Oryzias latipes: one gene and its partners. The protein of the gene in region 1 interacts with the protein of each later gene in a pairwise test. Links are inferred from orthologs where the notes say so. Each region holds a gene or a part of one and is shown in the gene's direction. Other genes may lie near its edges.

The links.
Region 2: the proteins of lrp2 (region 1) and mapk8ip2 interact in a two-hybrid assay, tested with the Homo sapiens proteins (2 studies listed by BioGRID). The link is inferred for Oryzias latipes from reciprocal best matches to the Homo sapiens genes LRP2 and MAPK8IP2.
Region 3: the proteins of lrp2 (region 1) and mapk8ip1 interact in a two-hybrid assay, tested with the Homo sapiens proteins (2 studies listed by BioGRID). The link is inferred for Oryzias latipes from reciprocal best matches to the Homo sapiens genes LRP2 and MAPK8IP1.

The regions. Positions count from the first base shown.
Region 1 is NC_019879.2:21,650,450-21,654,105, reverse strand, and holds part of lrp2 (low-density lipoprotein receptor-related protein 2), read left to right. Parts: coding exon 1-216; intron 217-336; coding exon 337-514; intron 515-612; coding exon 613-741; intron 742-1,393; coding exon 1,394-1,560; intron 1,561-1,751; coding exon 1,752-1,895; intron 1,896-1,984; coding exon 1,985-2,094; intron 2,095-2,355; coding exon 2,356-2,533; intron 2,534-2,628; coding exon 2,629-2,842; intron 2,843-2,929; coding exon 2,930-3,169; intron 3,170-3,282; coding exon 3,283-3,471; intron 3,472-3,656. UniProt on the Homo sapiens protein: Multiligand endocytic receptor. Acts together with CUBN to mediate endocytosis of high-density lipoproteins. Mediates receptor-mediated uptake of polybasic drugs such as aprotinin, aminoglycosides and polymyxin B.
Region 2 is NC_019864.2:20,573,263-20,576,918, reverse strand, and holds part of mapk8ip2 (C-Jun-amino-terminal kinase-interacting protein 2), read left to right. Parts: intron 1-882; coding exon 883-988; intron 989-3,656. UniProt on the Homo sapiens protein: The JNK-interacting protein (JIP) group of scaffold proteins selectively mediates JNK signaling by aggregating specific components of the MAPK cascade to form a functional JNK signaling module.
Region 3 is NC_019861.2:7,572,387-7,576,042, reverse strand, and holds part of mapk8ip1 (C-Jun-amino-terminal kinase-interacting protein 1), read left to right. Parts: intron 1-1,540; coding exon 1,541-1,798; intron 1,799-3,656. UniProt on the Homo sapiens protein: The JNK-interacting protein (JIP) group of scaffold proteins selectively mediates JNK signaling by aggregating specific components of the MAPK cascade to form a functional JNK signaling module. Required for JNK activation in response to excitotoxic stress.

The DNA.
Region 1 (3,656 bases):
TTTTGGACTGACTGGGGAAGGAACCCTCGCATTGAAAAGGCCAGCATGGATGGGAAGCTGAGGACTATCATTGTCAGCAGCAAACTTTACTGGCCCAACGGTCTAACCATAGACTATCCAAATAATTTGCTATACTTTGCTGACGCCTACTTGGATTTCATCGACTACTGCGATTATAATGGCAATAATAGGAAACAAGTTTTGGCTAGCGACTTGGTGAGTGTATCCAAGTTGACATTTTATCCACTTTATTTGGTGATACTGTTAATTATCTTATATTTGAATATTCTGTGTAAGATACACTTTTTTTTCCCTTTTGCTACTCTCTGTGAAAAGGTACTGCAACATCCCCACGCAATTACCATTTTTGAGGATTTTGTCTATTGGACCGACAGATACATCAACCGAGTGATGCGAGCTCATAAGTGGCACGGGGAGAACCAGACAGTGATGCTGTTCAACCTCCCTCAGCCTATGGGTCTAGTAGCAGTCCATCCAACCAGGCAGCCTGCAGGTATGGCAAATTCTGCAGGAATAATTCAGTCCAAAACAAGACATTACTTACCTGCCTCTTTCTAAATGTGTGGACATGTGTAATTGATTACTCTGCAGGTGAAAATCACTGCTTGAATAGTCCGTGTACTCATATTTGCTTGCTATCTGCTGTGGGACCAAGATACTACTCATGTGCTTGCCACTCAGGCTGGATACTGGCAGCAGACCAGTTCACCTGTACCAGAGGTATGCATAAGGAGGAAAACACTCATCTCTTAGGCTGATGAAAAGAAAAACACACATATTTTATAAACCAGTGTACTTATCAGGTATTGATTGTCCTAAAAAAAAGACGTCATATAAACACACAATTCTCGGATTCTTCTTTTAAAAAAATGAGAATTGTCTCTTGTCTGCATATTTGTCTGCCAAATGGTCCCAGGCACTTGTCAACAGCCTCCCATTTAAATTGTCTCATAAACTCGACTTCCCTTCATGAATATTAGGAATCATACAAGCGTGTCTTGCTCCCTTAAGAAGACAAGGGACCTTTAATTCAAAGTCCAAGAAGTCTGCCCTAGGTCAGCAGCTTATCTCATCTCAGGTTTCACTCCAGTCAAAGCAACCAGCGCACAACCCCCCCATCCCCTGAAGCTAACGATACTTCAAGAATGAAAATGTTCCACAAGCATTCAATGACTAATCTCTGACGACGAAGCACATCGTGCTGTGGAACCAACATTAATCAGTCAATACATTTTATAGATACAGACATTTTAATGCGTTTGCACCAAATTTTCTGTACTTGATGCGTACTATGTGGCTCTTGTTTATTATTGGCTTTTATTAGAGTTGATCTGGTTTTTGTCATTTGTTTCATATGTGCGTTTTTGTCCAGTTGAGGATCCGTTTTTGGTGGTTGTAAGGGACAGCATCATCTTAGGCATCCCCCTGAATCCAGAGGAGAAGAACAATGATGTTATGATTCCTGTCGCTGGTCTTCAAAATGGTTATGATGTTGACTTTGATGACAGTGAACAGATCATATACTGGGTGGAACATCCAGTAAGTAAAACTTTCAAGTCTTTTTTTTTAACACGTCATTGTAAGTGAGTAAGTTATTGCAGCAAAGCAAATGACTGCTGTGCTTTATTTTTTACTCTCCCAATTCAGATAAAAATTTGTCTCATGGGATTAGGTTTAATTTTCCACTCATTCACTACTGACTACGGCTTATGTGTGTCATTTGTTACCAGGGTGAGATCCACAGGGTGAAGTCTGATGGTACCAACAGGGAGGAGTTTGCTCCAGCAGCCATTCTTGGTTCACCTGTTGGTCTGGCCTTGGACTGGATTACAGAGAACCTCTATTACACTAATCCAGGTGCACAATCTATTGAGGTGAGTTATATGATCAAGTAAATGCAAAATGTTGAAAACAAATGGAGTCTCACATGACAGTTATGCAGGAAAACAACCTTTTTTTGTAGGTTTTAAAGTTAAGAGGTGAGCTACAGTACAGAAAAACGTTGATCACAAATGACGGCTCTCCAACTGGTGCTGGGAGTCCTGTTGGCATTACGGTGGATCCAGCACGTGGGTAAGACTCTCTTTACATTGACTTGGCACAGACAATGCTTACATTGAGGTGTAAGGGAGTACAGTTGTTAGTCTAAAGTGCAGTCTAAAGTGCCATAAAACCTTAGCACCCTGCAGCTAGGTGATATTTTGAGACAACTGTGTTGTTGTATTGGGCTATACTGTAAAAATAAAATTGAATTGAATGCCTTTTTTTAAAAAATTGAAAATTGATAAATACTTTAAAACTAAAACACTGCATCTTGTCCTGTAACTTCTTAAGCAAACTGTACTGGACAGACCAGGGAACGGAGAGTGGCATCCCTGCCAAGGTGGCATCTGCAGACATGGATGGTCAAAACCCAGCCATCTTGTTTACCGACAACCTGGATCACATAGAGTTCCTCACAGTGGACATCCAAGAAAACAAGCTGTACTGGGCCGTGACAAGTACTGGCAAGGTGCACCACAATGCTTTCAATTTCTAAATTCTTGATAGAATATTAGTGCTTTGTTCTTTAATGTCTGTAATTCTAATGTCTCTGAATTGTCACAGATTGAACGAGGGGATCCAGACGGAAGCAACCGCATCACCATAGTGTCAGGCCTGTCTCACCCCTGGGGGGTAACTGTCTATCAAAACTTCCTGTACTTTACGGACCGTGACTTTGAGGTCATAGAGCGAGTGGACAAGTCCACAGGCGCCAACAAGGTTGTGTTAAGAAACAACATGTCAGGACTAAGGGCTCTGAAAGTTCATTTTCGACAAAGTAAGGAACACACAAATGTATTTCTTTCTCAGGGTTTCAAATGTACGCTTTTGTTTCTTGTGTTTTTCATTTTGAGTTGTCTTTTAGCATCTGCAGGTACATCAAATGGTTGCACAAACAACCTGGGAGCGTGTCAGCAGCTCTGTCTGCCACGACCGCAGAGCCTTTTCACCTGCGCATGTGCAACAGGTTTCAAACTCAATGCAGACAACAGAACCTGTGCACCTTACCAGTCCTACGTTGTTATCTCTACTCTGTCTGCTATCAAGGGCTTCAGTTTGGAGGGGTCAGATCACTCTGAGGCCATGGTCCCTGTGGCCGGAAGAGGTCAGCAGCTTCAACATTTTATATGCGCTTGTTTGCGATGCAATTCTTAATTCTTAGAATTTCCACTGGGAAGAACATAGACAAACTGAGTGTTAACATTTATTGTTTTTCAGGGCGTAATGCTTTGCACATTGATGTGCACATGGCCTCCAGTTTCATTTATTGGTGTGACTTCAGCAGTACTGTGGCAATACAGAATGGGGTCAGAAGGATAAAGCCGGATGGCTCTGGATTACGTAGCATGGTAACGTCTGGAATAGGACGCAATGGGATACGAGGAATTGCTGTGGATTGGGCTGCAGGTAAGCTGCTGCGTTTTTGAAGAGTATGTTGTAATGAAGCTGAAAGTAAAATAATATATAATGAAAGTTGAAAATAACAATTTTTTTAGAAGATTATAGTTCTCATTCGCATTAAAGTTTCAAAAGTGAGAAAACCAAAATATAAATATAAATGTGAGATTTTGTTTTTAAAATGAGTCATGTTA
Region 2 (3,656 bases), on another chromosome or scaffold:
ATTGGTTTACAAAAAAACTTATACAAATGTCTTTTATTCATTAATTCCATACAAAAATTATATCCTTGCAGATGCATTTTCATAAGAAATGTATAATGTGTCATATTAACTCGAATTTCTTTGTTTTCTTCAAAAATCTTCATTATGTGTTTTATCGATTCCATTGGTAACTATAATCTGAAGTAGATCTTTTTTTTCAGTCTCTGTCAGTTCACATTAGAAAGATCATCCACCTCATTGATGATCTCGTTTGTGACCTTCATTGACCCCCACATGAGTCAGCATGTCTTCATTTGCTCTTTAAACAGGAACGCCTGTATGACTTAGTGATGCAAGGAAAAATCCACACCTTAAATGTGGAGCATCCTATTCTGAACTTTTGGGAAAGCTGCAATGCAGCATTTCCTACAGCAGTTCCAGAGCCAGCTGCTGCAGACTTGGGATCCTGATGAATATCAAAGCAAAGATGGAATAGATCCTAATCAACACAACCTGACATGTGTGTGGCTGTCTGATGTGAAGAGCTGCTGAAAACTTTCAAGTCATTTATTTTTCAACATACATAGAGTATGGTGTAAGATCCAGTCAACCGAACACGTTGTTTTCATGCTTTACATATTACCTCATTTCATGCACCACAATTTTTCAGAACTTCTGAATGAAGGAAGAAAATATTGTTTGGCTGCTTGAGTTTAATAAAATGAGACTCAGACAGAGCCTGACAGTGTGTGAGTAAGAGCAGGTTTCCCCGTCACAGAGCTGAGTGTGTGGGAATAAATCAAATGGGAATTTCTTTCCGTGACAATAACCAATAAATATAAAGACATTTTGCAAACATCAGTGTTGGCTTTCAAAGCAGTAATCACTATTTCCTTCTTCCAGGCCAGCTCATGACATCAGCCTGGAGGAGTTTGATGATGAAGATCTCTCTGAAATCACAGATGATTGTGGGATTGGACTCAACTATGACTCGGATCCATATGAAAAGGTAAATCTGTTTTGTTTTTTTATCCCATTTGTTGATATTTTAGACACATTGTGCTTGTTTTTGTGTCACAGATATGGAGACACTCCATATTGGTTTGAAATCAGTTTGATATCAAACATTTTCAAAGCAGAGCTTGAATCAACAGTTTTAAAAATGACATTATCGCAGCCTAATTACACACAGTGAGACAATCTAAATAGTTTCCATAAACTGTTTTGTAAGATCTTCGTTCACATTAACTTTTTTGTTTCATTCAATCAGCAAAATAAATAATATAATATGGCTATCTTTAATATCAAAAACAACATTTGAATTTAGGTCAAAAGAAGAATTACATTACATTCATGCTTTCATTTATACACGAGAGAAAACAGCACTTAGCATGTAAGCAGATATAGCTGATTTTTAGTAACAATTTCACTTCATTTAACTATCAATAAAGATAGACCACTGCTCAGAACAATATTCAATACATTTTCTGACTTAAAATGAGAGATTCACATGCCTAAAAATGTTCTCTTATATGTTGGGAATTCCACAATCCTCAGTTTAAAACTGAACCGTATGTTACTTCATCGTTGCATCCACGCGTCTTGTTGAAGGTTGAAAGTGTCAAACACGTGTGTTGGGCTAAATTTAAGATTTATGATTTATAGTTTTATTACACTACATCAGGTTTAGGATGAGCCAACTGAAAGTTTTTTTCTTCATTGTTACTTGCTTATTAGCCACTTAAAAAATAGATTTTTCTCATATTTATTTTGCTTTTTTGTTGATATTTTGTGATACAAAAATCATTTATTGACCCCAAACAAAAGCATGAATCAAAAATAGAGGTGTCAACCAAATCATGGGAAAGGTGAATCGTTGCATCCTGAATATATTTGCACTAAAACAGAAATACAGTTTGCTTTAGCTCAGAAAATTGAGAGCAGTTTTATATTTTGATGCACTAAAAGAAAAATAGCTAACAAATTTTCATTTTGCAGTCAAGTTGGAAGTCTTTTCCAAGTTTGAAATATTAATACATTCCTTCATAAGCTGTACTGATGATGTTATTGAACATTAGTCCATCACATTTGACTCACTTTGAGCCCTACACAGATCATACATAGAGATTTATTTACCAACCTAAAAACTCTAAGAAATCAGTTAAACAACATAAACAGAGTTAATAATTGTAACTAAAATGAATTAGAAGTTTAACACATTAGGGGAAAGTCTAAAAAAGTAGCTTTGTGAGTTTAATATTATTACAAAGAGGCATAATGAATTAACCTATTCTGAACAGTGAAAGGTTTCAACTACAAGCTGCTGCTTTCAAGCTTCTGTTCACGCATCTTTGACCACAGGATGGTCTGAGTCTGTGAAGTATTTGAGTTCAGAACATACTGATATTTTTTGTCAAAGAATTACTACATTTTAATTTCACATCCCCCTCTCTGTCTTTACCATTGGAGTAAATGTTTTCTGCTGGTGGCGTGGAGCCATGGCTGCAGCAGAGGGTGGGTGACCCAGCACAGTTTGCTGCTATGCAGAGACATCTCTCCCTCCCCAGTGTGTTGCCAAACCCTCCCCATTCAGAGTGTTGCTTAGAGACGGAGTTCACACTCCCTCTTCAGTCTCTGTCACCTGACAGAGAATAAGGATTTACCCCAGCAGTGGTTGGGTCTGAAGAGTTAAGCCCTCGGTTTAAATCTGGGCAGAATATTTTGTGCCCTCTGCTGTAATCTATGTAGAAAATGCATTACGGAGAGCTAGCAAAGCCTGTCTGTAACTGATCCTTCTATGTAAGAAGTGGCAGAAGGACTGTGAAGGAAGACCTCAACAGTGATGGAGTGACAGAGAAAGCTGGTGTTTTTTCTTATGTCATGCGTGTCATTTACACCTACATTCTTGCAACCCTCTTTAAAAAACACACGCACAAGCAAAAGCTTTGACCGCTCATATCACAAATATGAAAGCACCAAATAGACCATGTCTGTCCGTGTTATGTTACTTCATAGCCCAGAGGAAGTAATCTTGCTGACACTGGCTGGAAAGGACACACACCTAGTTGCCCTTTAAGTGTGTGTGTGTTTAAATAATAGGAGAAGAAAGGCGAGTCGGAGAAATTTGTGCACAGGACTCTTGACATGGCCTTTGATGTTGACTGCATCTGCAAAGCATGTGACGCTTTGTCAGCTCGTCATCATCAGCAGAAGAAGCATTTCCTGCTTCCACAACACTCTGCTGATGAGGACGATGAGGACGTTATCATGTCAGGATAATTCAGACACAGATGGGTCTTTGATGCTCAGGGAGAGCTTTGCCGAATAGAAAGATTATGCTCCAACCCCGGCTGAGGAATTCATAATGCTTTAGTGTGGTTTTGGGCTTAATCAGTTCTGCTCACATATGTATGATGTGCATGTCCTGTGATGAAGCAGGTAATTCTTTATTAGGTAAATGACATTTATTAATTGCCCAGTCTGTCCTTCTTTTAGGTTTGACAGCACATTTGTGTGGAACGTTTTATTAAATCTTTTCTAATTTTTTATGAGTTTGTATATTAGGACAAAAAAAAAAAAATCTTATCATTGTTAGGTCCTAGAATTTAAGGAATTCTAATAAAATTAGAAGAAAATAGGTCAAGCTATACACTTGCAAAATCTTTACATCCTTGCTT
Region 3 (3,656 bases), on another chromosome or scaffold:
ATTTTATATCCCTGCGCTGTTGGTCCCACAAACCTTCAGGGCTAGTGTTATCAGTTATGTTCAAAATTACAAGACAATATTAAAACAAATTTTGATGTCATTACATAACAAAACATACTTTTCTTTTCTATCCCCTCCTCTCACATTCACACCCTATGGACAATTTATAGTGACCAATTAACCTATGAAGCATGTTTTTGCATGGGGAGAACATGTAAACTCCACACAGAAAGGTCCCCCATTGGTATTCTGTTTCAGGCCCCCCAGCCAGAACTTGAACAGGGGGCCTTCTTGTTAACCACTGCGCCACCGTGCAGCCAATGCATTAAATGTTGTTTATTTGAATAAATAATGAATTTGTTTTTTATAGTTAATAACGTTTTGTGTTTAGATTTTTTGCATGTCAGAAAGATGATCAAAATGATGATAAAAGGTTGGATCCACAGTCAGACTGAATTATGGTTAGAATAATCTTAAAACACAAATTTGTATCTTTTACTGAACAGCAGTGTCTAGTTGCTTTTCAGAGACAAAGTTCTTAATGTATATAACTGCATTTACATGTATGTACACAACAAGTAACTGTTACTGCTAAAGGTTGCAGCCACCGGTGATATGTGTTTTTCAGCATTCTGTCAGGTTCCCAATTCTTTTGAAAAATTATATGCTTAAGTTTTTTCTTTTTGGCTGTTGGCCACCGATTTTCCTATATTTTTCTTCCGTCTAGCATATTTGTTTTGCATTTGTATGGGCTGGGCTTTGATTCAACAGAACACATACACCACACGAAGAGGGAAATACCATTAAAGGCTTATCCGAGCCTCAGATGTTGCAGCCAAAGCCAACAGGATGAACTAGCGGTGACCGTGTGTGTTGTTTGTGCTCAACAGCAGGGATTGCATTGCAAATTAGGGTAGAATTAACTGGTATGTTTCCCTTTGACCCACTACCTCACATTTTCTTCTTGGTTGAAATGGTTAAACGGAATTTGTTTACACGTCAACTCAAACTAATAACATTAGACACATAAAATTCGAAAGCTCTGAGTATTTAATGGGTATCATTTTCTAATTTGGTTAAATGTGATCATTAAAGTAACGTCATCATTTTTCCATCATCAGACTAGCCAGAACCTAACAGTAAACAATACAAGCCCAGCCTTTTGTCATGTATTTTGTAGCTTGTGGATGGCCAATAGTAGGAATTTGTCCTTCTGATGTAATGTCAAAATAAATAAAATTAATTTTTTAGGCAATTGGCATAAGTATCAGGATACAATTTATTATAACAGCTTTTGCAAAGATTCTAACCATCTTAATATTTTAGTTTTATGATTCAATTTTTTTGCTTAGAAAGGAAAAGGTTTAGAAATGCACTGAATTGGTTCAGCAGTTGGCAGTGAGAATGTTAATGCTGATGAGAGAGTTGCCTCCAATTGGCCAGCTCAGTCTCCACATCATCTGTGCAACATGGTGTATCTCTATCTCTCCCTTCTCTATTTTAGTTTTAACTGATGGCATTTCTTGTCCAATCTCTGCAGGGCCGTGTGAGGGGGGGGACCAATAGCCTGTCAGGGAGGGCGGAGCTGGGAGCAGTTGGCCAGCTTCAAGCAGAGATGCTGCATTTGGACCTTATCGACGGAGCTGACAGTTACTGTGTTGATAAGGAGCCTTTAAAGGCATCTGCTCTCCCACTTTCACCTGTCATTAAGGATCCTGCAGCACCTGTTACCATGGATACTTACAGACCCAAGAGACCCACAACCCTTAACCTCTTCCCCATTGTGCCACGGACTCAGGTAGGATTTGACTAACCTCATCCACAGAGACAGTTTCTGGCACTGAATCTAAAGAGAAGAACACCCTTGCTTCTGTTTGTCTTTATAGGTTGATCTTAAAGTCTAAGTGTCAACATTTTATCGTGGTGTTAATCAGGAAAAAAACAATGTCCATTACATCAACACTGAAATTATTCAAATAACTTCTGTGACAGGATGTGTTTATCAGACTGAACAATAGCATGAATTGTCAGTAACACCCCCCACCCCCACTTTGGTTACTGGCCCTGCCTGTGCATGAAATGCTGCTAGTGCTCGTGACTTGTGTTAGGCGTCTTCTATGACAGTGTTTTTGAAGATCAAGCTATAGGAGGAAAAATTACAATCAAGGTTAGAAGCTACATAATGAGCAGCAAATTAAAAGGCACCAGGAGTTTACCTCAGTTTTGATCTGGCCCTTGTTTGGCCAAAGGATTTGTACTGACAGGTTCCTTTTAAGGACCCATACCAATACAAATTGTGTTTATGGGCGTTTTCAGCGTGTTCTTGAAGCATTTTTCTCATAAAACAAAGTTTATGAGTATTTCTTTATTAAAATTGTGGTGAATCAGGGGGCAGCCATAAAAAATACTCTGTGCTCCGCTCCATTCTGATGCTTTCAGTTGAAGACAAATGGATCTTTTCACGTCTTTGTTTTCCTCTTCTGAGCTGGCATCTGGCTCAAAACTGTTCGGCTGGATAGCCTCAACATTCCTCGCTATTATTGTTGCACTGCTAATGTAAGCCTGGGGTTTTGGGGGGCTGTAAGATAGCGGGAGAGAGTGTAAATAAAGGGATGATGGGTAATTACTGATACGAAGCCCATCGAGACGACTGTTGTTGTGAATTCGGGCTATACAAATAAAATTGAATTGAATTGAAATAATTCGCCTCTGGGTTGTGAGTGGTCTCGCTCACACAGTTTTTTTTATTTGGGCTTAAAGTGGCATTCCAATAATTAAAAGACAACTGGGAATGCTCTTAATATAGATCAAAAGATTATCAGAGTAGGACTTTTAAAGCTTACTTATATGAAACATATTTTTAATTATTTACGGAATTGCTGTTTTATTTATTTCAGCAATGTGCTGCAGGGCTGATACTGGTCGATTGGTCAACCTCAACAATCTATTCTTTAATTTGATGCTACTGTAATTCTGATTGTTTACTAATGCAGCGCAGACTCATCCAACTCACACCCAGTCCTGTAATCCTGCTTTGACCGTCTCTTCTGATGCAGCAACAGCAAGATCAATACTGTTTGAATGGTAAATGGTATGCAGATACTTATAAAGTAGCCAATGCCCTTTACAGGCACAGTTTATTCACACTGATGGCAGCTTTGCTGCCTTACATTGGTGCTAACCTAAAACCCCCAGGAGCAATGTGGGGTTCCACCCCCAAGGACATATGGGTGAGCAGGCAGGAACCAAACCTGCAATCTTCCACTCCTTGGTTCCCCTCATGAAGCTCATGGGCCTTCCTGCACTCTATAATTGATCTGTGACCTTTAATCTTGCTTGAACCATTAGCAAAAATCACATACCTTTTGCTCATCATACAATTAATGAACCTACGTTATGTTTCAAGGTGCTTGAGATTGTCTTTGCAGTTCCGTAAATAGTCACAAAACAAACGTGCAACAAGGGCCACATGGCTGCAGAACACATGAAACAATTTTATTTTAAGTGACAGGATTTTTATAAAATGGATCTGCCACCACTGCAGGGTCACATCTGCTAGACAATTAAAAATAGAGAGTGTGTTTAATTAAGGAATTTGACTTCAGCTACTTTGTGATAGTTTTAAGAAAAACATATCCATCTATCCACCTTTCATT